Notamacropus eugenii: one gene and its partners. The protein of the gene in region 2 purifies or fractionates together with the protein of the main gene of each other region. This does not show direct contact. Links are inferred from orthologs where the notes say so. Each region holds a gene or a part of one and is shown on either strand. Other genes may lie near its edges. The genes, in order: PRDX1, PRDX5 and PRDX2.

Region 1 (7,300 bases), about 490 Mb from region 2:
CCCAGGCAGGTACTCCCTACTGAGATACAGAGAAAAAAAATCAGTTCCCTGAGGCAGATTTCACTCCAAGACATAAGCAGCCCACATGCTCATATTCCTCAAGGAGTTTAGAGGTTATTTAGAAGCTGCCTTCAAACTAGCCAGTGACCCTGGGAACCAAGCTTGGCTCTACCCCAAGGGAGTCATGCTGGTAGAACAAGGCCAAGGCTCAGGGTTGTTCTATAAGCCACAAGTGAATCGAGGAGAGCATCTGGTGTCCCCACTGAAAGCCAACCTCAATGGGAACATTGTTTATCCCAACAAATCTGTCAGTGCCATCCTGTTCCTCAGCGCCCAAGGGAGGGCAGCATCTTGGACTACTGGCACTCTCATAGGATCCTCCCTCTGGGGTCAGGGTAGTGTGTGTACACGGGTATGTAAGGGCATGACAGCTACCCTTTCCTCTGCCAACCAGCTGTGGCCCACAAGGCTCAGAACCCACCACGCCGGGCCTCTCTGTTCATCAGCTTCTGCAAGGCTTAGCTCAGAATAGCAGCTGCAGCTGCGAAGCAATCTGGACACTTTCGGGACCCAGAAAACCCAGCAGGCCTGAGTGACCAGGCCCTCTTCCTTTGCCATTCTGAGACCCAACTGCACCCCAGACATCAGCCCTTGAGGGGAGGGGCACTGAAGAGAGCCTTCAGTTAAGGCACAAAAAGGAAAGCACCTTCCTAAGCCAGCTGAGACCCCAGAGGAGAGGCTGGCCAAGGTCCTCTGGGTATCAGCCATTTTATCTGAGGAGATCCAAGGCCCTTTGATATCAGAATTGGGCGCAGATGGGGAGGGAAGGAGATAGGCCACAGTATTATTCTCTCCTGGAATAAGCAGTGGGGGGGGGCAACATCACCACTCAGCCCTAGACAGGAAATAAAAACAGCTCAGCAGAAAGTGCACAAAGGTGCCTTTGTTATGGAGACTTGGTTAATCAAGAAATGTTAATCAGGCTCGGGCAATTCAACTCACCTTTGTAATCAGAAAGGCTGATGTCTTTGAACTGCCGATCTGGCATAACAGCTGTAGCTCTGAAATTGGGGGCTGGGAACCCAATCTTGGCATTGCCCGCAGACATGTTGACAGTATGACGGTAACTGGGGGCCAAGAGGAATGAGGCTGGAAAACCAGAGAGGTGACTTCAGGAGAGGTACCAAGTTTCCCACTCCTAAGACAACCCGAGGCAGCTCACTTTTAGGGAGCACTGAGAGACTCGCCGGGCACCAAGGGGACATACTAGCCTAGAACCACACCTGACCATCTTACTGCCCTTGGAGCCCTCTGCCCTCCTGGTCACATATAACAAGGAGATCTAGTCACTTAAAATGAAGGATTTTCTGAAAGCAAAGTCCTGGCTGCCATCCTAAACTAGAAAGCAACCCCGGCAGTCCCCTCCAACTTCCCAGGGCTGAGCAGTTCTCCACAGCCCGATTAGGCAACAGGGTTTTGTGCCGGCTAGACCGGACTCCTCGTGGGGAGGGGCCTCTACCCTACGGCCCTCTCCCAAACCAGCCAGTCCCCAGGAAAAAAGGAAGAAAGATGGGTGGTTTTGCGCTCCGGCCTAGGCTGGAAATTCTGGGCAGTGCTAAGCAGAGATTAGGAGTTAAGGGGAACTGATTTCCATTCGGAGAGACTGATCACTGCAGAGCCAGGCAGAAGCTGCCGGTTCCAAGCCCAGGTGCACCGGAAGCCCCCCCGGCCCTGCCCTGCCCTCTCGGGGTGGGCTCACCCCAGCGCGCATCCACAAGGGGGGAGGAAGAGACGGGGGCTTTCTGCGGCACCCACTATGTGCCCAGCACTCGGCTAAACGCTTCACAACTCCGACCTCATCTGCTCCTCACACCCACACCCGGGGAGATCCGCGCTAACCGGGGGTTATCCCCATCTTACAGTTGGGGAAACTGAGGCAGACGGAGGCTAAGTGACTTATCCGTGGTCACGGCTGGGTCGGCGTTCCAATCCCCGACCCACCAGCGAGCTGCCTGAAGGCGGAGAGCGGAAGGGGCGCCCTCTCGGAACGAGGTTCACCCCCTTCGAACCCACTTTACAGAAAAGCCCCGAGGGACCCTGCTCCAATGCCCTTCCCCCACGGCCACCTCCCGGAAAGGACCCTGCCTAGGCAGGGGTGCAGCCCACCGCACCCCCTCCCGATCATCGGACCGTGGAGGCCGACAGTGCTGCCCACGTGGCCAGAGAGGAGGATGGAGGCCCTCGGGGGCACCAGGGCCCCGGTGCCCCCGGCTCCCGATGCTGGGACCCCGGGACGATGGGCTGCTGCACTCCCCGGGGGGGCCCCCTCCTCGGTCACACCGGGGAGAACCACGAGGAGAGGGCGGGAAAGTAGAGTCGCCGCCGCCGCCCGCTCCTCCCCAGGCGCCTCGCTTCCCCCCCGGAGCCCCAGTTTCCTCCACGGTCCAAACAGAGAAGGCCGTGGGGGTCCCTGTAAGAGGCTGTTTCGGGGCAGGTGAGCCCGTGCCTCAGTTTCCCCATTTGTCCCACGCCCGGGCCCGGCTTCTATTCCACCAATCTGATGTGGCTTCGAGAACTTCAAGTCCCGCCCCCCACCCGAAGGTTCCCCAACACGCCCCCACCAGCCAATCAGCGTCCTTGGGGGGGTCGTCCGCCTTTCCCAGGACGTCCCGAGCTTCCCCGCCCGTCCCCAGCCGCCCGAGGAGGGGCAGCACGGCGGCAGAGAGGGGGTGGCGTGGGGGACGTGCCCGCTCCCTGGCCTCACCAGCTAGGCTCCGCAGACAAGGTCGAAGAAAGGCCGAACCCCTGAGCAGGAGCTGGAGAGCGCGAGGATGCTGCGCCCAGCGCCGCCTTTATAAGCCCCTGATCTCGCGAGAGGCTGGGCGGCAGAGGGCGGGCCCGGCCGCCTGAAGCCCCGCCTCCTCCCTGCTTCCCTCCCTCTCCTCATCCACGCCTTCAGCATGACTCGGCACTTTTCCGGGGTTCGGGGGCAGGACGCCCCTCCTTCCCCAACCCCAGATCACGCTCACTGGGCCCTCTCCCCCACCACCTGACGTCTGGGCCTCTCAGACCAGGAAATCCCTCCCCCGATACAGATCGCCTCTCTCTCTCCCTCCCAGCGGCCCGGCTGCCTCGGAACACCCCTGAACCCCTGGCGAGGTGTCGGTGCAGCTTGGGAACTCCCTGCGGCCATGAGACACATGCCCTGCTGAGCTTTTTAAAAGATAATTAGTAACAATTAATAAGTAACAATGTAACCGCATAGCAGCAGCCGTACAGCCCCCGCACTCGCTGCATCCCGGGCCCCGTGCTCTGCCCGACAACTACAAAGAGAAGCAGAAGCCAGAGGTCTCCCGTGGAGTGCCCCAAGGCTCTGTGCAGCCCGACGTTTCTCCCCTTGACCAGAGTGGAGGCCCAGGTGGATGAGAGCTCATCGCATAGGGTGCTGATGCACAGCTGGGAGGGCTGACTGACGCACCCTGAGCTAGGACTGGAAAATACAAGCTCGTAGCTGTGGAGCTGAATGGAAGGTGAAATTCACTAAGGATAAACAGCAAGTGTAACATTTGGGCTCAAAACTAGACTTCCATGCGGGAACCAGCTTGGCCAGCCTGAGTCAGCACGTTGGGCAGCATTAAGAGAGGCCCAGCTTTCAGGATCAGGGAGCTCAGTGAGAGTCCTGCTGGGTGTGGGGCATGGGGAGAGACTGGAGAGAATGAATTTGTCCTAAGTTGGTTAAGCTCCCACTATGGGTCTGGCATGCCACCTGGTTACAAAGCAAAAAAGGAAACTGGGCCCTGCCCTCAGGGACCTTCCATTCTGCTGCTGGTGGAGAAGGGAATCTCAGAGGAGACAGGGGGGAGGGGGAGCACCAGAGCTGTTCTCCATGTTGGGAAGGGCTGTTATATGGAACAAAGATCAGCCTTGCTGGTCCGAACAGTTGAGGGGGAGGGGGAATCGTCAAAGAGGCCAAATCAGTTCAGGCTCAGTGTTAGGAAATCCTTGCTCTCCTTAGGGGCTGGCCAGGAATGGAAGGGACTCTTTGGGAAAGGTAGTGAGCTCCCCATCTCTGGTGGTCTCCAGTCAGAGGCAGGGTGACTCCCTGTGCAGGATATTGTAGAAGGATTTCCTGTTCAGGTGTGGGTTGCGCTCCTTTCTGTAGAGTGTTATATGATAAGCAGGATGAATGGGGGAATGAGTACCAGGGGAGGGCTCAGTGGGCTTTGTCTTTAGGTGCCTTGGGCTTTGAGGAAATGTAGGGGGGGAGGGGCTGAAGCAAGCCTTGGGCGATGAGTCTGGGGCTGGGAGTGGCAGGAGAAGGAAGCTGGCTTTCCTGGTGGTGGGAGGCTCGAATAGGATGTGTGCCACCTGGAGCCTGGCTCAGTCCCCACCCCCACATCCCTGGATGTGGCCCTTCCTCCCCTACTTGGCCTTTGTTCCGCCCGGGGCTGTTCATTCTCTGTGCTGAGCGAAAATAGTTAGGGAGCTCATTAAATACTTGCTGATTGATTGGGTGACAGAGAGGAAACACTGAAGGTGGGAAATATCCAAGGTTATTATCAAGAACCTGGGAGGTTCCCAGAGGCAGGGAGAACAGTGAGAAAGCTATTTCAATGGTCTTGGCTGGAGAAGAAGGCTCTAGGCTTGTGGCTGGAAGGCCTCAGAAGTCCACTACTCCAGCCTTCTTCCTTTACGCCAGAGTTTTCCACAGGCTGGATTATGAGAAATAAGACTTAAACCCAAGTCAGCCTGATGCTGTCCTGAGGGTGCCATTCCTCCTCTCCCCCCTCCTTCACAGTGGCGTCTCCATGACACCAAAGAGAATGATAGCTAGGGAGAAAGAGCAGGTAAGGCCTCCAACCTGAGCTCAGGGTCGTCATTAGGAGTCATTGCCGACATTGCTGGGGGCCCTTTATGATTACAAAAGTTTCCTCACATTTATGATCTCCTTTCACCTTCCCTCCTCCTTAACCTGTTGGGAGGTAGCTAGGGCCTCAGCGCCATTTAATAGCCACAGAGGTCAAGGCTGAAGGTCCCAGAGCCAGAATTCCCACCATTGTCATTCTGGAGGTCTGGCCCTTGGGGAACCATTTCTGGCTAGAAAAAAAGCAGAGAGAAAGGAATAAAAAGGGAGCTGATTTGCCCACCCAGCATGGTGTCCCAGGGAATAGTCTGGAATGTGTTTCAGAGATTTTAAAAGAAGGTAGGGGAGGGGATTTCTAGGTGTGTTGGAAATTTCTCCTCTAAGCAAGTGAGTGAGTCTCTGTGCCCTGAGATCTTTAAGTGGGAGACAGACTGTGTGACATGTAGAGGTCTAGAAGTAGGGGCTGCTGGTAGATGGCTTCTGTGGATGCCCAAACCCCCTCCTATATTCTCTGTCTATCTGACAAATGCCCATTTCTGCCTCTGTTGATGTTTACCCTGATGCTTTCCATCAGTTCAGTATCTCACCCTGATTCTGTGTTCATCCTCATTGAAGGGGTTTAACATGACTGAAAAATTCATGCTAAAAAGTGTGGGAGCAAGCACATAGCCTTGTTTCACTTTCTTGGTGACTGGAAAAGCACAAGAGCATCATCCATTATCCAGAGCCCAAGCCAGCATGCCATTGTGAAATTGATGTACAATACTGATGAACTTCTCTGGGCAACCAAATTTTAACATAATTTTCCATAAGCCCTCACGACTTACAACATCAAAGGCCTTGGTCAGATCTACAAACATTGTGTTCAGACCTCTGTTCTGCTCCTGGCATTTCTCCTGGAGTTATCCAGCAGGAAACATCATATCTACTGTTCCTCAGCCCTTTCTGAAGCCACACTGGGTCTCAGGCAGATGACTGTCTTCCAGGTGAAGCATCAGCCTATTAAGGAGGACTCTGAAAAGAATCTGGCAATGGGTAAGACAGAGTTCCCCCTGTGATTGTCACAGGACAATCTATTTCTTTTACCTTTATAGAGGTGGACAAAAAGACTATCTTACAGAGAATTAATTGACAGAGGGTAAGTGCTCACATGGTGGTCAGAAGAAGCAATAGAAGGACACTTTCAAGGTCTCTCTTAAGGACTTTAGAATTGATTGTGTGATGTAGGGGACACTGGCACAGGACCACCCAGCATGGCATGCCCTCGTCAGAGAAGTCACTGTGCTCTATGAGCGAAGTAGAATTGAAGTAGCTCAAAAGAAATTTGAGATGCACAGATGTAGAGAATTCACCCCATATGTTCACATGGACTGTTTGTGCCCTAGCTGTGGTAGAGCATTCCGAGCTCATATTGATCTGATCGGCCACAGTAGGACACACTATAACTTAACTCTAATGTAATGATGTCATTTAGGCCCTCTTTGGGAATGGACAACAGCTACCACTTTTCTGCTTTCCTACAGGACCAAAAGGTGTTGATTTATGGGGCTGTATGAACCAGGAGGGGCAGTCTCTAGTGGTGAGCCACCTGGCTTTTTCTTCAGCCTTGTCTCCTACAAGATGGTCATCAGTGACTTAGATGAAGACAGAAGGCATGCCTGCCAAGTATTCAGAACATTCAAAGCTGGGAAGGCTTTGTTAGCTCACATAATCAGGATTCAGAGTCATCCTGACAGTTCAGAACCAAGGAGATGACTCAACAGCTTCATGGTGGGAGAGGAAGTAGAATTGTAGGGTCATGGGTGGGGGAAGTGGGATGTCCAGGGGTGAGAGCTCAAGCTTACAATCAGGGAATTAACCAAGAGTCAAATTTCAGCTGAGGAATCTGGAGGAAGTCCAGTGCAAGCAGGAAGAAGGAAATTGTGAGCCAAACAATAGGGCATACTTGGGTGGATCGATGATGGATGGATGGATGGATGAATGGATTGGTGGATCGATGATGGATGGATGGATAGATGGATGGATTGGTGGATCGATGATGGATTGATGGATGGATCAATGAATGATGGATGACTGGCTGCAGGGGGCATGTTTTAGGGGAGAATTCTGCATAGAAATGCCTCTGAAATGCTCTGATTCTCCTAAGTGGGTGAAGACCAAAGAGGCAAGGATGTCTTTGAAACCAGACATCTTCCCACCACGGATTATCTTTTCCAACTTCCACCCAGAAGTGCCTGGCTATGCTACCTGAAAGCAGTTAATTGGAGACTCTCTGGATTGGCTTAGAATCTTCTCTAGTTTTCTTAAGAAGCACAAACTGGACCTCTCAGCTTTTCTGCACTTTAGTATGAGCTGGTTCCACCCTCTGCCTGCTTAGGTTGCTCCTCTACCTTTGTCTTTATGTCTTTGTGTTGGGGTGTTGGGGATAAGACTCTT
Region 2 (7,259 bases):
TGCCTATGAGAGTGGAGGAGATGACCAAATGGGGGAGCGAGGCCAACGTCACCAAGAGTGCCCCCCCTCTCCAGAAGACTGGCCCCTTTCCATCACCAAAATCAAACCTCCTTGCCACTTGGCAGCTGAAGCCCTGATTTCTTAGGAAACTATTCCAGTCATTTCACAAGCACCAAGAGGAGAGAGGAGAAGGGACGGGTTCAAGGTCATACAGCCAGGAGGTAACTGAACTGGGATGAGGACCCAAATCATCTGACTCCCTCTGCCTAAGCCTGCCTCTCCCAGCACCGAGCCAGGCCCCAGTTTTCAGTTGTGCTGGTCCCCAACAGTGACAGCAAACATTTACCTTCCCAAAGGCCCCGGTGGGGTCAGCCAGGAGCCGAACCTGGAGACAGAAGGATGGGGAAGGGGTCAGCACCCTGGGCCCCTCCTCTCATTCAGCCCCTGCCCCCTCCCCCAGGGCCTCACCTTGCCCGAGGCTTTTTGTGACAGGCCCCACTCACTGACCACGAAGACGTCATTGACACTGAGGCAGGCTACCACCTCAGCCCCTCTGGACTTCAGGGCATCAGCCTGCTCCACAAAGCCAGGCAGGTGAGTCTGGGGAAGGAATGCGCAGGGGTTAGGAGCCCCACATCCTTTCTCACCCTTCCTTCTCCCAAACCCCCAGCTATTCTAGGCTGCTCCCCCTCATTCCCCTTGAATCTACCAGGACCTCAGAAAGGTGCCATTTTCACTCACAAGAGAGTGAGAAGGGGCTTCAGAGGTCATCTTACCTAGCCCATACATTACCAGCCGCTCCCTCTTCAATTTCCCAAATAAGGAGTCATCCATCCTCTGGCAACAGGGACCTCAATACCCCAAGGCAGCTCACCTCACTTTGAGACAACTAGGTTCTAGCATTGGGCTTTATTCTCCTACCTTGGAACAGCCTGGTGTGAAAGCTCCGGGCACCCCAAAGAGTACTCCCTTCTTGCCTTTGAACAGCTCTGCCAGGTTCACCTTCTTGCCTGGATCTCCCTCAAATACCTCCACAGATGGAAGGGCATCACCCACCTAGGGGAGAAGGCTCAGAGCTAGAAAGAAGCCAGACCCTGATGGGAAGTCAGGACCGGGTTCCCAGTCTCTGTGACTGGGGCTCCATCCTGCCAGTGGAAAGGGAAATTCCCAGGTCAGTTTCCTGGTCCCTTCCCAAGGACAGCTGGATCACCCCACAGCCCATCCCCACCCAAGCAGGCTCTAAATTTCCTGAAAGTTATGATCCCTCCCTTGGGCATATGGAGGACGATTGGTGACGGAAGTTTTTTCTGTGGCCATGCAGGTGTTGCATCACCCAGAAGAACAATTTCTGTGGGGCAAGACCAAAGCCTGTGTTCTGGGAAAGGAGTGGGATGGGGAGGGGCAGGGCAGAAAGACTACAGTCTGGAAGAAAGAGGGCAAAGTCTGACCAGAGTCTGGGATTTGCCCTGTGGAGTCCCCTGCAGAATATGGGGCTTGGAATAAGACACAGGCACCAGGATTCCTGGCTTTGGCAAGGGGGTGGGGGTAGGGTGGGAATGGGCTCCAAGATGATGGGGCCATATCTCCAACTCTCCAACTCAACTCTGTGTCTAAAACTCTCTCTCTCTCTCTCTCTCTCTCTCTCTCTCTCTCTCTCTCTCTCTCTCTCTCTCTCTCACACACACACACACACACACACACACACACACACACACACACACACACCAGTGAAATAGATCCAAACCTCAGGGGTGGGAGCGAGCATTTCAGTCCAGAGGCACAAACTGGGGAAAAGGAATCCGTTAATTCTCTAAGTAACTGAGAGTAGTGGCTCCGGGCACTGTAGGGATTCAGACACCTGATGAGAAGGGGGGGGTCCTAGTCTCTACCACCCAAATCACAGATCTGAGGGGCTTGGGGCTGAATGAATCTGTCTGAACTTCAGCAGCTGGAGGAGGAAGAAGAGACCCTGGGGTCGATAAGGGATTCCATATGAGGAGTCAGTCTACATGGGGTTTGGGCTAGACCAGATGGGACATCAATCCATAATGGGGGTGGGAGGTGGTCAGTTCATCAGGAGAGGATCAGGCCACAGGAAGAATCACTCGGTATAGGGGATCCCCAGGCTACACTGGATGAGGGTGGGGCTAAATGGGTGGTCAATCCAGGCAAAATTCCTCCTTTTTGAGAGGCTCAGCTCCTTAAGCAAATCTGTGCAAAAAATCTATGTTAAAACCCAGTTCGGATGTGCACTCCCTATACCATCCCTGGCAAATCCCTACTGCCCTGGACCTCAGTTTCCTCATCTATAAAATGAGAAGCTTAGCTCCAGTCAGTCAATCAAGAAGTACTCACTCCCTAAGCAGCCCCAGCTATGGGCCAGGCACTCACAAAAGGGAGACGACCCCCAGTCTATGATCCTATGGAACCATTCCATGGGGGAGATGCCCAGGCCCGAGCAATGAGGAACTGCCTATATTCATCATCAATTAATAATGGGGAGAGGCTCAGGTCAGGGAGGGGACCCCTCCATGGTCTGTCCACAAAGAGGGGGCTGCATAGGGCTGAGGAAGGAGGATGGGCAGAAGGGAATCATTCCATAAAAGAGGTCCCTGGGTTATGGAGAGATGAGTCCACATGATGGGGGGGGCGTCGTTCGCATGGGGGTGTCTAGAATATGGGGGGACCGATGGGGGGATCAAACAGTATAGTGGGTCACTAACAGGAAGGGTCACTGGGGGTGTCGGTCCATGAAGCGGGTCCCTAACATGGGGATGATTGGGGGGGGCGGTCAGTTCTCGGGGGCAGAGGGGTCGGTCCCGGGGGGTTGGGGCGGGACAGCCAAGGTCAAGGTCAACGCCGAGGCTCACCTTGATCGGGGCCATGGTTGCAGAGGCGCTGCGTAGGGTGCGAACCGACGCGACAAGGAAGGTCTGGGCGGCGGTGGCAGTTCTCGACGCCCCTTTAAGAACGTGCCCAGCGCGGCGCCCGAGGTAGAGCAGCCCGGCCAGCCCCATCCCCGCCCGGCTCTGAGTACGGCCCGCCCCCGGATGAAGCTCCGCCCCTGGCAGCAGCCCCGCCCCTGCAGAGGCTCCTCATTTGCGTGAAGGGGCGTGGTCGAACGATTGCGAGCCACTCAGCGACCGGGAGTGGAGGGGTTGGGAAGGGGCGGGCAACTCCACGAGACAACCTGTAAATTTGTACGGAGCCGCCGGTTGGGGCAGAGTGGGGGAGGGCGGGAATCGCCCTTCTTATTGGCGAAGCGCCGAAGGGGGCGGGGCCGAGCCTCTGAGGGGCTCGCCGCTCATTGGCCCGGCTGCGCAGTTCTTTCTCCCGAGATTGCCCAGGCGGCGGAGTGTCGTAGCGGCTTAGCGTGTGACCGACTTGTGGCGTGGGAGGAGGCTGAGCCTGGCTGAGCCCAGGTACGGGCCGTGAACGAGCCCCAAGCGCTTCGGTGTCACTGTTGCCATCCTCCCCATGCCTGCTCGCCCTCCCCGTGGCGCCCCCTCTCCGCCGGGAGCCCCAACCTGAGGCCGTCCCTCCTCGGCTCCCGTCCCCCAGGCTCCCTCGGCCCCTCTCTCCTTCCTGCCCGACTCTCCGTGACCCCAGTTGGGGTTTTCTTGGCAGAGATGCTGGAGTGCTTTGCCAGTTCCTTCTCCGGCTCATTTTACAAAGGGGGAAACGGAGGCAAACGGGGTTAGGTGTCTTGCTCAGGGTCACACGAGGCTGGATTAGAACTCGCTGTTCTTGACTACGCGCCTGGCACTGCACTCCGCCACTAGCGACCTCTCTAATAAATTAGCACCTTCCTCCTGAAATGGTTGTGAGGATCAAATAAGGCCCTATTTGCTGAGACCTTAGCCCCCCACTGCCTCCTGGGTCATCTCCAATCTGGCTGAGAAAGCCAGGCTGGTGGCTGCACAGCCCTGCCTCCCTTAAAGCCAGTTCACGTGCATGTCCTAGCGTCACTCCCTGACGTCTCGGTCCTCCGAGAACGAAGGACACCGCAAAGCACGCAAGCAGTGTAAACGCTCCCATTCGGTCCTCACGACCACCCTGGGAGCCGGGGATGAGGAAACTGAGGCTGGGAGACATTGAGTAACTGGCCGGTGTCAGAAAGGATTCGAACTCGACAATTCTCTGCCGGGTTCCCCCGCACACTCTCCACTCCGCCACCTAGCGGCAAACACGTGTTTGCGCAGAGATACCTCCGCATGATCTCGGACGCGGTGCAAGGTGCATGAGGACGCATGCGCGCACTGGCGCGCTCGCGATCAGTACCGCGAAGCTTAGCCCCGGGCTGCAGCGCGGATGCATCTGCGCATGCGCATCTGGCTCTAACTCGTTATTTGCATCTGGGGGCCGGAAATAAAAGCCGGGAGGCAGCAGCAGTTCCCGCAACATCCTGTTTGGGGAGGGCTGCCCCGCCTCTTCCGGAAGTGGCCGGAGGAAAGAGAGGGATTCTCGAGAGGGTGGGAGGAGAAAGCAAGAGGAGACGGAAGTGACGTAGGCAGGGCGCCGACCTGATTCCGGTTCCGGTGCGGGTGCGCGCGCAGGTTGGGATGAAGCTGTTGACCCACAACTTGCTGAGCTCCCACGTGCGTGGGGTGGGGCCCCAGGGCTTCCCGCTACGCATCCAGGTACCCGAGGCGGAGTGGGCCGGGGGGGGTGCGGGGTGACGGGCCCCACCCGGCCCGCGGCCCGCGTGACAACCCTGGCGTGTCCCCCCAGGCCACCGAGGTCCGCGTGAGCCCTGTAGACTTCAACCCGGACTTCGTGACGCGCATGATCCCCAAGATGGAGTGGACGGCGCTGGTGGACGCGGCCGAGAGCGTGAGCGCCCTCGCACGCCCCCTCCCCCCACCCCCAGTTTCCTCCTCAGTAACAGGGGACCCCGCCCCGCTGCGCCCCGGGTTTGTCAGGCAGCGGCGGGAGGCCCGGGCCTGTACCGGTTTGTGCCGGCTTACCTCCCGGGGCCTGCTGGGTAGAGAAAGGTAACGGCCGCGAGACCCGGGTCCCAGGGCACTCGGGGACTGGGCAGGCGGTGTCCGCGGTGCGGGGATCCCCAGGGCCCCACAAGGGTTCCCGGTCCCGGGGTCCAGGGCGGAAGGGACCCTGGCCCGTAACCCGAACGACCTGTGCCCCCTCCAGCTGGGGCACCTGTCCGAGCTGCCCCGGCAGCTGGCCGAAGGCTACGAGAAGGACGAGGACTTCCTGAGGAAGGCGCACCACGTCTTGTTGGAGGTGAGGCTCGGCCTGCGCGCTGCCCCTCCAACCCTGGGCGGGCGGGCCGGGCCCTGCTCATGTTGTGCTCATCCCGCAGGTGGAGGTGGTGGAGGGCACCCTGCAGTGCCCGCAGTCCGGACGCCTGTTCCCCATCAGCCGAGGGATCCCCAACATGCTGCTGAGTGACGAGGAGGCCACGTCCTAGGCCTCAGAGCTCTCCTCCTCCCCAGTCCCTTTTTAGGCCTGTTCATCCAGGCTGAGCTGCGGTCATTTTCCCCTCCACCTCTGCCCCCCACACCACACAGAGCCCTGGGGATGGTATGATCGCTGTTATATTTTTTTTTCCTCATTAAAGGTTCAAAACTGAACGCGTTTTTTTTTTCTTTGCAGCAAATATACATTAAAATAGAGTCTCTGTACAGCTCTGTTCCCCCACGCAGCCCTGGGAGGAGGCAGCCCAGGCCCTACCCCAGTGGCCCCTGCTCCTCCCTTCAGTCCAAACCTAAAAATAAATATAGTGTTATTGCTATGCAGGGGATAGAGTAGATGCTGCGGGGGCCCCCCTCCCCTCCCCAGGGGTCCGGGATCATCCCTTGGCCCAGCTCCAGGGGCAGGTTGGGGAGGGAGAGAGGAACCAGCTCTGATTTATTGCTTTAAAGGGGAGAAGGATTGGAGTTTGGGGGCAGTAATAATGCCCAGTATAAATGGCAAGGAGGGAAGGGTTCGGGGGTCCTTGCTCTCCAGCCCCGGCTCTGCTAGAGGGGGAGCCAGGCCCCTGGGGATGGGCCAAGCAGCAGCAAAAAAAGCATTAACCGAAGGGAAAGCTGGGGCCCCTCAACTCTTCCCTCCCTGAGATCTCTTACCTCTCCCCTGATACCCCAGTTTCCCCAGCAGCCCCCCTTTATGGCTTCCACAAGGCCCCCCCAACCCTGGGGGTAGATTATGGCTTGTGAGGGGCAGTGCTTCCCCCTAGTGGTTGGAGCAGCACTGCCTAGCCTCACTCCTCTAGGTGCCTATGGAAGGGAGTAGGGTGGGCATGGGCCTGGTTCCCATGGGCTGTTGGCATTGCCCTGGCACTGCCAGCAGGCTGTGGGCACTGCCCATGCCCTCCCCTGGGCTTCTGGGGTTCAACCCTTCCCCCCCACCCCTGCCGGTCCTGCCAGCACCACCCCCCCCAACCCGAGCATGTCCACAAGACCAATAGCCTTCCCCCCATCAGTCCATCATAGCCTCCAGCATCTCCAGGAAAAGCTTGTGCATGGGGACCTTCCCCTCCAGCTTCACCCCATAGAAATGGGCCAGCACTTTGCCCGCCGTCTGGCGAAGGAGGGGGAGAGTGAGCAGCAGCCTCCCAGCCCTGCGGCGCTCAGCTCCCCCACCAGGGCCCCCACCAGCACGCCCAGCTTCGTACTCCAACAAGGCTTCATGCAAGGCTTCCCGTAGCTGTTCCACAGCCTCAGCATCTTCTATGTGCACTGAGTCTGGGGAGGGAAGAGCTCAGTTCAGTGGGTGCTAACCTGCCCCTACCCCTGCCCTCCAAGGAGCCCACCTGGTTCCACTCTGCTTTGCTTCTAGGGGGAACCTGAGACGCAGAGAATCCAAGGAGATAATGTGGGTCCAAAACAGAAGTCAGCTAGGACTAGACCTATCTGGGTTCTCCAGGGCATGGGGTAACACAGTGGAGACAGAGATTCAAATCCTGCCTGCTCCCCTTAGTCTGTGGTTCAGGCAAACTCAATTCTCTTTTCAGTGCCTCAGTTGCCTTATGTGTAAGATTGGGGCTGGCTAAAATGATGCCTAAGGTCCCTCCCAGCTCTGACCTCAGTGAGCAAAACCAGGGAGAGCACTTTGTGGGCAGCCCCAGGTCAGCCCAGGAGGCTCAGCTCCCCTCCCCCTGTGGGAGCCCCTTGGAGCTCACCTCTCTGTCACCTACACTCAAGGGTTGCTGGGAGGACCATGGGGTACATCCACCTCTGGAGCAGAGGGCTATGGCACTCCTCGACCTCCAGCTCACCCCAGCTGCTCCCACCCCC
Region 3 (7,908 bases), on a different chromosome or scaffold from region 2:
GGTCTCCCAGCCTTTTGTCCAAAGCCAGGAGACCAGCTCAAGCCTCAATCCATAGGGTAGCCACCTTGGAAGTGGAAAACACACCCAAGGAAGAGTGGGGTAGGATAGGGAATACACAAGACTCACCTTCTCCGTGCTCGTCTGTGTACTGAAATGCTTGCACTAGTCGCAAAGCCTCATCCACTGATCGACCCACAGGCAGGTCATTGACAGTGATTTGCCTGACAAGGCCTTTAGCATCAATGATAAAGAGGCCCCTGAGTAAATGGAGAAGAGCTAGTATAAGACCCTGGAAGTCATCCAGGACTGGGCAACACCATGTTCAGTAGAAAGAAGACTAGATTTTAATTCCAAACCCATTCTTCTGCCACATCTGTAAGGGCTGAGACTTACTTTCTTTTGGGGGAAGTGTCTGGCTCCTAATATTCTATGTCCTCGATCACCTTCCCTCCCCAAGTCTGAATTCAGACTTAGTACTTGTATGACTTTATCTAAGTCCTTTCAACTCTCTCAGCCTCAGCTTTTGTTCCTGCAAAACAAGATTTGATAATATAGCCTCCAAGTTCTCTTCTAGTTCTAAAACCTTGCAACTCCCTGCTGTTTCTACGTAGTTCAAAGATTGTCTGTTTTCATGACTATAAAAGTGGGGGTGGCAAAAACTAAGAACCAGTCAGAATGGTGACTCCTAAATTGTTGATGATCAGGGACAGAGCAAGACATACTTACAGACGGTCCCCCAACCATACCTGTAGGCAATGCCTTCATCCTCCTTCAGTACCCCATAATCTCGAGCGAGGTTTCTGGTTACATCTGCCAGCAGGGGGATTTTCAAAGGACCCAGGCCACCCTGTTTTCGAGGGGTGTTGATCCTTTTTAGGGAGGTTGAGAAAGAAGTGTCCAAGTTACTTACCTCCATGGAGTCCCCTTCTCCCTAATCAGGGACTATCTTTCCTACTCTCCAAAGAAAGGAGCTATCTTCACAGCTCAGAGGCTCCTCCTCCCTTCTCCCCAAGGGCTTGAGCAACAGATTAGGGCTTCCCTAAGAGTCCTGAGTAAGTGATAAAGGGGTTGCAGGCAGGGCTGTCAAAGCCCAAACCTACCACACCCAGGAGGGAGTAGTAAGGCAGGAAGAGAAAGATGCTGTTCTCTATTTCTGAGGAAGATGGAACAGAAAGTACTGCCTAGTATGGTTGAAACAATCGACGAGTGGACATAAGGTATGAAGCCCTGAGTTCAAATGCCAGCTCTGGTACTTGGTGAATCAAAAGCCATTGCTCTTAACTTCTCTAAATCTGTTTTTTTTTCTTTTTCACATGATGGGAGCTGAAAGAAATGTCTTCCAAAGTCCCTTCCAATTCAAATTACTACAAAGGGACCCCAGCAACTCAGCTTTGGAAACCCTTTTGTTCCAATAAGTGTAGTTACAGGGCCACAGGATATTCCCTAGCAAAAGACAGGAGGTGCCAGCCAGTGACACTTCCAGTGGGAGAAGGTGGTAGAAGCACAAAGTCAGATAGGGCAGAGTTCCTTCTCCATCTTCCTTCTCCTAGCCAGAATCATACCAGGCCAGGTGAGTGAATTGGGAATCCACAGACACACCAAGGACTTCGCAGCCCAGCTGACGGAAATCAGAGACCCGATCACTGAAGGCGATGATCTCGGTAGGGCACACAAAAGTGAAGTCCAGTGGATAGAAAAATATGACCAGATACTTCCCTGGAGCGATAAGAATAAAAGGAGTGAGAAGCAGGTGCTGGGGCCCCTTCCCCTACCACTCTCCAGGTGATAGGATCATCTCCTCACACCCTGACTTCCCTCCTCCAGAGGGGAAGGGGCCAGTGTCTCTGACCTCTAAGGTTGTTATCTCTCACCTTTATAGTCAGACAGCTTCACCTCCTTGAAAGCCCCATCGACCACAGCAGTGGTATGGAAGTCAGGGGCCGGTTTTCCAATGTGAGCATTTCCAGAGGACATGACTGGAAAAAGTGATTTTCCCCTTAGGGTCAACCAGGGCACCTGATTCGCATTTCCCCGAGCTGTGCAACCCAGCACCACCTCCCTTCCCCCACTTCCCGAGGCCAGACTGGGCACGTGGGTCAGACAAAGATGGTCACATGCAGCCCCTATCCCTCCCTCCATGGGCTGAACACAAGAGACTTGGGCACACGGGCCAGACTAAGCTAGTCCCATAGGGAAAGGGGGCAATTCAGACCCAGCCCTCCTGCCTCCTCTGCACTGCTCCTACCCCACCAGGGAAACAGGTCTGGGCACCCAGGCACAGGCTGTAAGATCTTTCACCTCCTCCCAGGACCCTTAGTCAGGCTGAGTTAGGCCTCAAGAGCAGGAACAAAGAGACGTCTAGATTTCTCTCAAGGTTCAGTTTCCCTGCTGAGTAGGGGACAGGTGGAGGAGAATTCACCTGGGCTCTCAGTTCCTAATAGCCCACAAAGAACAAAGGCAGGGATGGGGGGGGCGGGGAGGAACGTTTCTTGCTCCATGCAGAGGGAAGGACCAGGACAGTAGCAGATTAGCATAGAACACAATCTGTCTGGATAAAGGGGAGTCACAGGCTGCCTCTATTGCTTCCCACTCCCCTAGCCTAGAACTGGCCCGGCCCAGAAGGACCTGCATCGCATTGTACCTTACCGCACCATGCCGCACTGCACCGTACTGTACCTGCAAGAAGGGCGGGCTCCGAGCCTACAAAGATAGCGCGTGTTACTAGACCGCAACAGTAGCAGTCTGGAAACCAAAAGCCGAATCCAAGAGGCCGCCGCCCGCGCCTTTTATCCGCGGCCTGTACCACCTAAAGCCAGACCGTGGGGGGGAGGGGGGGTAGAAGACGAGGAGGAGTTGGGAGGGACGTATGGGAACGAGCCTGGGGGAGGACGCGACACGCCTGGGCGGGCCTACTGATGCGTCGTGGGGGGTGTGGGGTGGGGGGCGAGAAACCTGAATATACCGAAGCTGAGGGGCGGGGGCCGCTGACCTCTTCCCTCCCCCTTGTCCACTCCTCTCGCCTGTCCCTCCTGATGAGCAGCTCGGATAACGGAGCGCAGGGAGAACCTTGGACCAGCGACTAACAGCGGTTCAGGGGGCTACTGAATAGAGAAGGAGGGGGCCGTGGATGACCAGACTGCCCCTGAGATTGCTCCTGCTCGGCCCCGAACCTGCCCAGGCCCAGACCATCACTATTTCGGAGAACAAGGCTCTGGGGATTCTTGGGAGACAGAACTGGGTAAAGAGTGAGATGCCTTCAACCCCCAGAGCCTCCAGACTTGATCTCCCCAGATGTTACACATCAATGAGCAGTAACTCAAGGAGTCTTCCATTGGTGGGGCGGGGCACGGGGAGCGTGCAGGTTTACTCAGAAGAAACTCAGAAGCACTCATATACAGTGCACTGGCCCTGAAATCGTACCCCTCTCCTTAGCAAAGATTTACAACCCCCCATCCCACGCACACGCACAAGTATACACATATCACCCCCCACAATGAAATCTGCCAGGATTTCTCCCCGGGTCCTATTACTCAATTCAACAGATATTGTTAAGACGCTTGGCATATTGGGAAGTATCCCAGTCAAGCCTGGAAATTTCAGATGGTAGAAGAAACCCTGTCAAGGTTCAGGCTCCCTGGCTGACTGATGTTTTCTTCCCCCAGAGCCAGGAGAATTGCCACTGGGTCCATGGGGCCCCTGGACCTGCCAGTGTCTCCTGGGAATTCAAGAGCGGAGGCAGGATGTGATGGGCGCATCTGCAGCACCTGTATTTCTGGACAGGGAGAGCCTCCTGCAGCACCAGCCCTGCAGTTATAACAACTGTCCTAGCAGCTCACCAGGCCAGTGCAACCGGAGGGTTTGAGGACACAGAGTGAGCATGGCCAAAAGCAAACTCCAGAACCCAGAGAAGGAGAAAGGAAGATAGAAAACTCAAGGAGACTTGAGGCCCTGTGTGTGTACATTACCATCCCAGCTGGGTTTGGGGTAAGGAAGAGAGAAGCATCTGAACTTGGGAAAGGGGTATCCTGAGAGGGAGGGGCCCTAGAGCTGGGGATTCCTGGGATGATATCACCCTTGTCTATCTGCAGCATGTGGGGTGCAGGTTTTCCCCTGAGGCCTACCCTACCCTGAATACTTTGAAGATCAGAATGTAATCATCTCTATTATTGCTGTTGTTATTAAAGATAATTTTAAACCTTGCGGTAAAGCCACTCCAGCAGGTCCAGGAAGATGCATAGCCACACCTACTACATGCCACAGCTCAAGGAAGAATCAACTGGAGGGAAGCCTACCAGCTTGGGCCTCAGGAGGCAGATCCTAGTTCTATGGGGGCAGGGCCTACTCTACTAAGAGAGGCCCTTAGTGCTCGGAGACAGCAGAAGTGGAAAAGATCATGTTTGCTGAGATGGCCTCATCCTAGTGGTGCTACCTTAGATTTTTCCTTATTTCCTAGTAAGGCCTTCAAATAGTAGTTCTTACTGCTGCTATTTTTCTGGAGGCCTGGACAGAAATGTTTGATCCGATGAAAAGAATACTAGTCTATTGTTACTGAGTCATTTCAATTGGGTCCAACTCTTGGTGACTCCATTTGGGGTTTTTTTGGCAAAGATACTGGAGTGCTTTTCCATTTCCTTCTCTTGCTCATTTTACAGATGAGGAAATTGAAGCAAACAGAGTTAAGTGACTTGCCCAGGATCACACAGCTAGAAAGTGTCTGAGGCCAGATTTGAACTCACAAAGATGAGTTCCTGACTCTATCCATGCACTTTATCCACTCCATTTGGACACCTAGCTGCCTCCCAGAATGAGCCAAAAGAACTGGTTTAGAATCCTAGCCATATTTAATAGCTTTGTGACACTGGGCAAGTTCTTTCCCTTTTCTGGTTCTCAATTTCCCCCTCCTGTAAAATGAGAAGCTTGGACTAGATCAATCCAATGAATGATTAGTCAATCAGTAAACATTTATTAGGGAGAAGCAGAAAATACAAACAAAAATGGAAGTCCCTGTCCTCAAGAATCTTATAGTCTATGGGGGGGAGTGTGTTTAACACATATGTATGTATGTAATACACATATAGCATATGTGTATATATACGTATGTATATAAAAAGTTAATGCAAGATTAATTCGTTGGAGAGAGGGTAGAAAGCACTAACAGAGTTAGGGAATCTGGCAGGATCTCATGTAGGAGAAGGTGTTTGGGCTGACTTGTGAAGCTAAAGATTCTAAGAAGTAAAGGTGAGGAAGGACCGCATTTCAGGGCTGTGTAAACTCAGGGGAGATAGGATAGGTCATGTGTGAGGGACAGAAGAAAGTAAGCCAGTTTGGATGGCTGTCCACAAAGTATAAAAAGCTTGGAAAGGTAGATGTCAGGTTGTGAAGGGCTTTAAATTGCAAAGGAGTTTGTATTTTGTAACTGAAACAATAGAGAGCCTCTGGAACTCTTTAAACAGGGCTGTGTCTTGGTGTGTGTTAAACAGGCAAATGACTTCTTGGAAACAGAGATCTTCAGTTAGTCAGTAGTCAGTCAAAAAGCATTGCAGATAGATAACTGGTGGATGATGATCAAAGGGAGGGAGCATCATGCTTAAGAGGAGAGATTGGATCGGATGGGTTTTGAGCTCCCTCCCAGTTCCTGAAATTCTAGGACGCACGGCTAGGTGGCGCTCTTGCTGATGAACTACAAGTCCCAGAAAGCTACGAGGACGAACAGCAAGTTCAGGATTGGCTTGGAGGTTTCCGGGGGCGGGAAGCCCGCCTGGATCCGCGCATTTGCGGGATCTCCCAGCCAGTGTCCAAGACCGCTTGGCTTGCTGCGAGCATGGATCTGGGGGAGTTTGAGCGGGACAACACAGGCAGCTGCCGTCTGAGCTCGCCGGTGCCGGAGCTGTGCCGCACCGAGGCCTGCTGCCTGGGCATTGATGAGGCCGGCCGGGGGCCTGTTCTGGGTGGGAGTGGGTGCCAGCGTGCTGGGGGAGGAGGAGAGTGGGGGTGGGGTTGCCCGGGGGTGAGGGTGGCCTTCGGGCTAGGGGGTATTGTTGCACCAGGGCTGTGGGGTGTATCGGTTGTAGGAGGGGTGGGCTCCGAGCCGGGGGCGGTTTGCTGAGGGGTTGGGGGTTGCCCCAAGGTGGGCACTTCTTAGGGGTGGCAAATTGCCTGGCGGTGGGCCCTGGTTGTTGAGCAGTTGGACCAAAGGATTGCTTCGGGGTTGGGCCGTGGTTGGAGAGTAGGTTCTGGGCTGTGGGAGTCAAGATCCGGGGTCTGGAGGCATCTGACTCTACCTGTCCCCTTTTGCCAGGCCCTATGGTCTACGGCATCTGCTTTTGCCCCTTGTCCAAAGTGGGCGCCCTGGAGGCTCTGAAGGTGGCAGGTGAGTGCTGCACGGATGGCTTTCCAGGGGCTGTGGGGTGAGGGGGTGAAAGGTGGGGAAGGATTGTGCCCCTGTGACTAAGCCTCTCCTCCTTGCACTTCTCCCTTTTCCACACTGCCAGACTCAAAGACCCTGTCGGAGGCGGAGAGAGAGAGACTCTTTGGGAAACTAGATCAGGCCCGGACCTTTGTGGGCTGGGCCTTGGACATTCTGTCCCCGAACCTCATCTCCACCAGCATGCAGAGGCGGTGAGAGGCTGTTTGTGGGTGGGCAGCAAATTGACTCCTGTGCCACTCAATGTGAGTAGGGGCAAGAACACTAGATTTCAGGGCACAGGATCTCAGAGCTGGAAAGGGATCTCGGGGATCATCTTCTAGCCCAATACATACCTCACCCAACATCCCCCTCCATGGAGTGGTCACCCATCCTTTGCTTGCCGGCTTCAAGTAGGGTAAAACTTACTCAACCCTGGCTGAGGAAACCCATTTCCCTTTTGTATAGCTCTAATTGTTAGAAGGTGCTTCCTTAGATTGACTACACAATTAAGGATTATTGGTTCAGAGCTGAAAGGGATCATAGAGGCCATCAACTTCCTTCATTTTACAGATGAAAAAGCATTTTTTCTGTGTGAAGGCAATGGAAGTTAAGTGACTTGCCTAGGGTCATGCAACTAGTTTCAGAGCTGGGATTTGAACTCAAGTCCTCTTGACTCCAGGACTGGCACTCTATCTACTCTGCCACCTAGCTGCCTCCAGACAAAGCACAGAGAGGTTAAATGCCCATGTGTGCATGGTCACATAGGTGTGAAGTTTTATTTCGTTAAATATTTCTCAATTACATGTAAATTTTTTTTAACATTTTTTTAAATTTTGAGTTCCAAATTCTCTCCCTCCCTAATCCTTGAGAAGGCAAGCAATTTGATAGAGATATGTTATATGTTGATATTGTATATATGTATAATATATGTATATATATGTAGGTTAGCTATGAAGTTTCTGAGATGACATTTGTACCCAGTTTTTCCTGACTGAGAAAAGTCCTCTGTCTACTCCAAAGTGGCTCACTCTCATCTCATTTAGTCCTTCTTCCTCTATAGCCTTCGAAATATAGTAAGGTCTCCAAAAGACCTGAGTTTGAATCATAGGGTCATAGATTTAGAGCTGGAAGAGACCTCAGAGGCCTCCTCATCTTACAAATAAGTGAAATAGCACTCAGGGAACTCTTAACTTCTTGCTTGTAAATGTCAGAGCCAGGATTGAAAAACCCAGATCTTCTTGCTTTTCAATTTCAGTACTCTCTTCACTCCACAATATTGCTTCCCATCTTCCCCCACTTACTAGCTATGTGACTTTGAACAAGTTCCTTTCCCCTTTCTGGGCCTCAGTTTCTCCCACTATTAAAAGAGTGAGATAATTGGCTGATGTCTAAAGTCCTTTCCAGCTATAAATCCAGTGAGGTTTCAAGACTCAGCCTTAGAAAGGCAAAGTCATATCAGGCTCACGTTAGGCGGTGGGAATCCTTAAAATAAGTATCCTTAA

The links.
Region 1: the proteins of PRDX5 (region 2) and PRDX1 fractionate together in Homo sapiens (co-fractionation; 3 studies listed by BioGRID). This does not show direct contact. The link is inferred for Notamacropus eugenii from reciprocal best matches to the Homo sapiens genes PRDX5 and PRDX1.
Region 3: the proteins of PRDX5 (region 2) and PRDX2 fractionate together in Homo sapiens (co-fractionation; 3 studies listed by BioGRID). This does not show direct contact. The link is inferred for Notamacropus eugenii from reciprocal best matches to the Homo sapiens genes PRDX5 and PRDX2.

Annotation. Positions count from the first base shown.
Region 1 is NC_092873.1:506,673,389-506,680,688, forward strand, and holds the start of PRDX1 (peroxiredoxin-1), read right to left. Parts: upstream 3,031-7,300; 5' UTR 2,765-3,030; intron 1,150-2,764; 5' UTR 1,109-1,149; coding exon 1,003-1,108; intron 1-1,002. UniProt on the Homo sapiens protein: Thiol-specific peroxidase that catalyzes the reduction of hydrogen peroxide and organic hydroperoxides to water and alcohols, respectively.
Region 2 is NC_092873.1:17,156,574-17,163,832, reverse strand, and holds the start of PRDX5 (peroxiredoxin-5, mitochondrial), read right to left. Parts: upstream 3,097-7,259; 5' UTR 3,018-3,096; coding exon 2,871-3,017; intron 1,057-2,870; coding exon 922-1,056; intron 601-921; coding exon 469-600; intron 386-468; coding exon 347-385; intron 4-346; coding exon 1-3. Other genes in the region: TRMT112 (multifunctional methyltransferase subunit TRM112-like protein), read left to right, coding at 4,563-4,640, 4,732-4,994, 5,152-5,218; ESRRA (steroid hormone receptor ERR1), read right to left, coding at 6,442-6,707. UniProt on the Homo sapiens protein: Thiol-specific peroxidase that catalyzes the reduction of hydrogen peroxide and organic hydroperoxides to water and alcohols, respectively.
Region 3 is NC_092875.1:78,123,691-78,131,598, reverse strand, and holds the start of PRDX2 (peroxiredoxin-2), read right to left. Parts: upstream 3,056-7,908; 5' UTR 2,677-3,055; exon of another isoform or gene 2,673-2,676; coding exon of another isoform or gene 2,653-2,672; exon of another isoform or gene 2,642-2,652; intron 1,977-2,641; 5' UTR 1,975-1,976; coding exon 1,872-1,974; intron 1,717-1,871; coding exon 1,563-1,716; intron 870-1,562; coding exon 747-869; intron 258-746; coding exon 127-257; intron 1-126. Other genes in the region: THSD8 (thrombospondin type-1 domain-containing protein 8), read left to right, coding at 2,653-2,672, 3,105-3,238, 3,663-3,862; RNASEH2A (ribonuclease H2 subunit A), read left to right, coding at 5,822-5,948, 6,299-6,370, 6,492-6,618.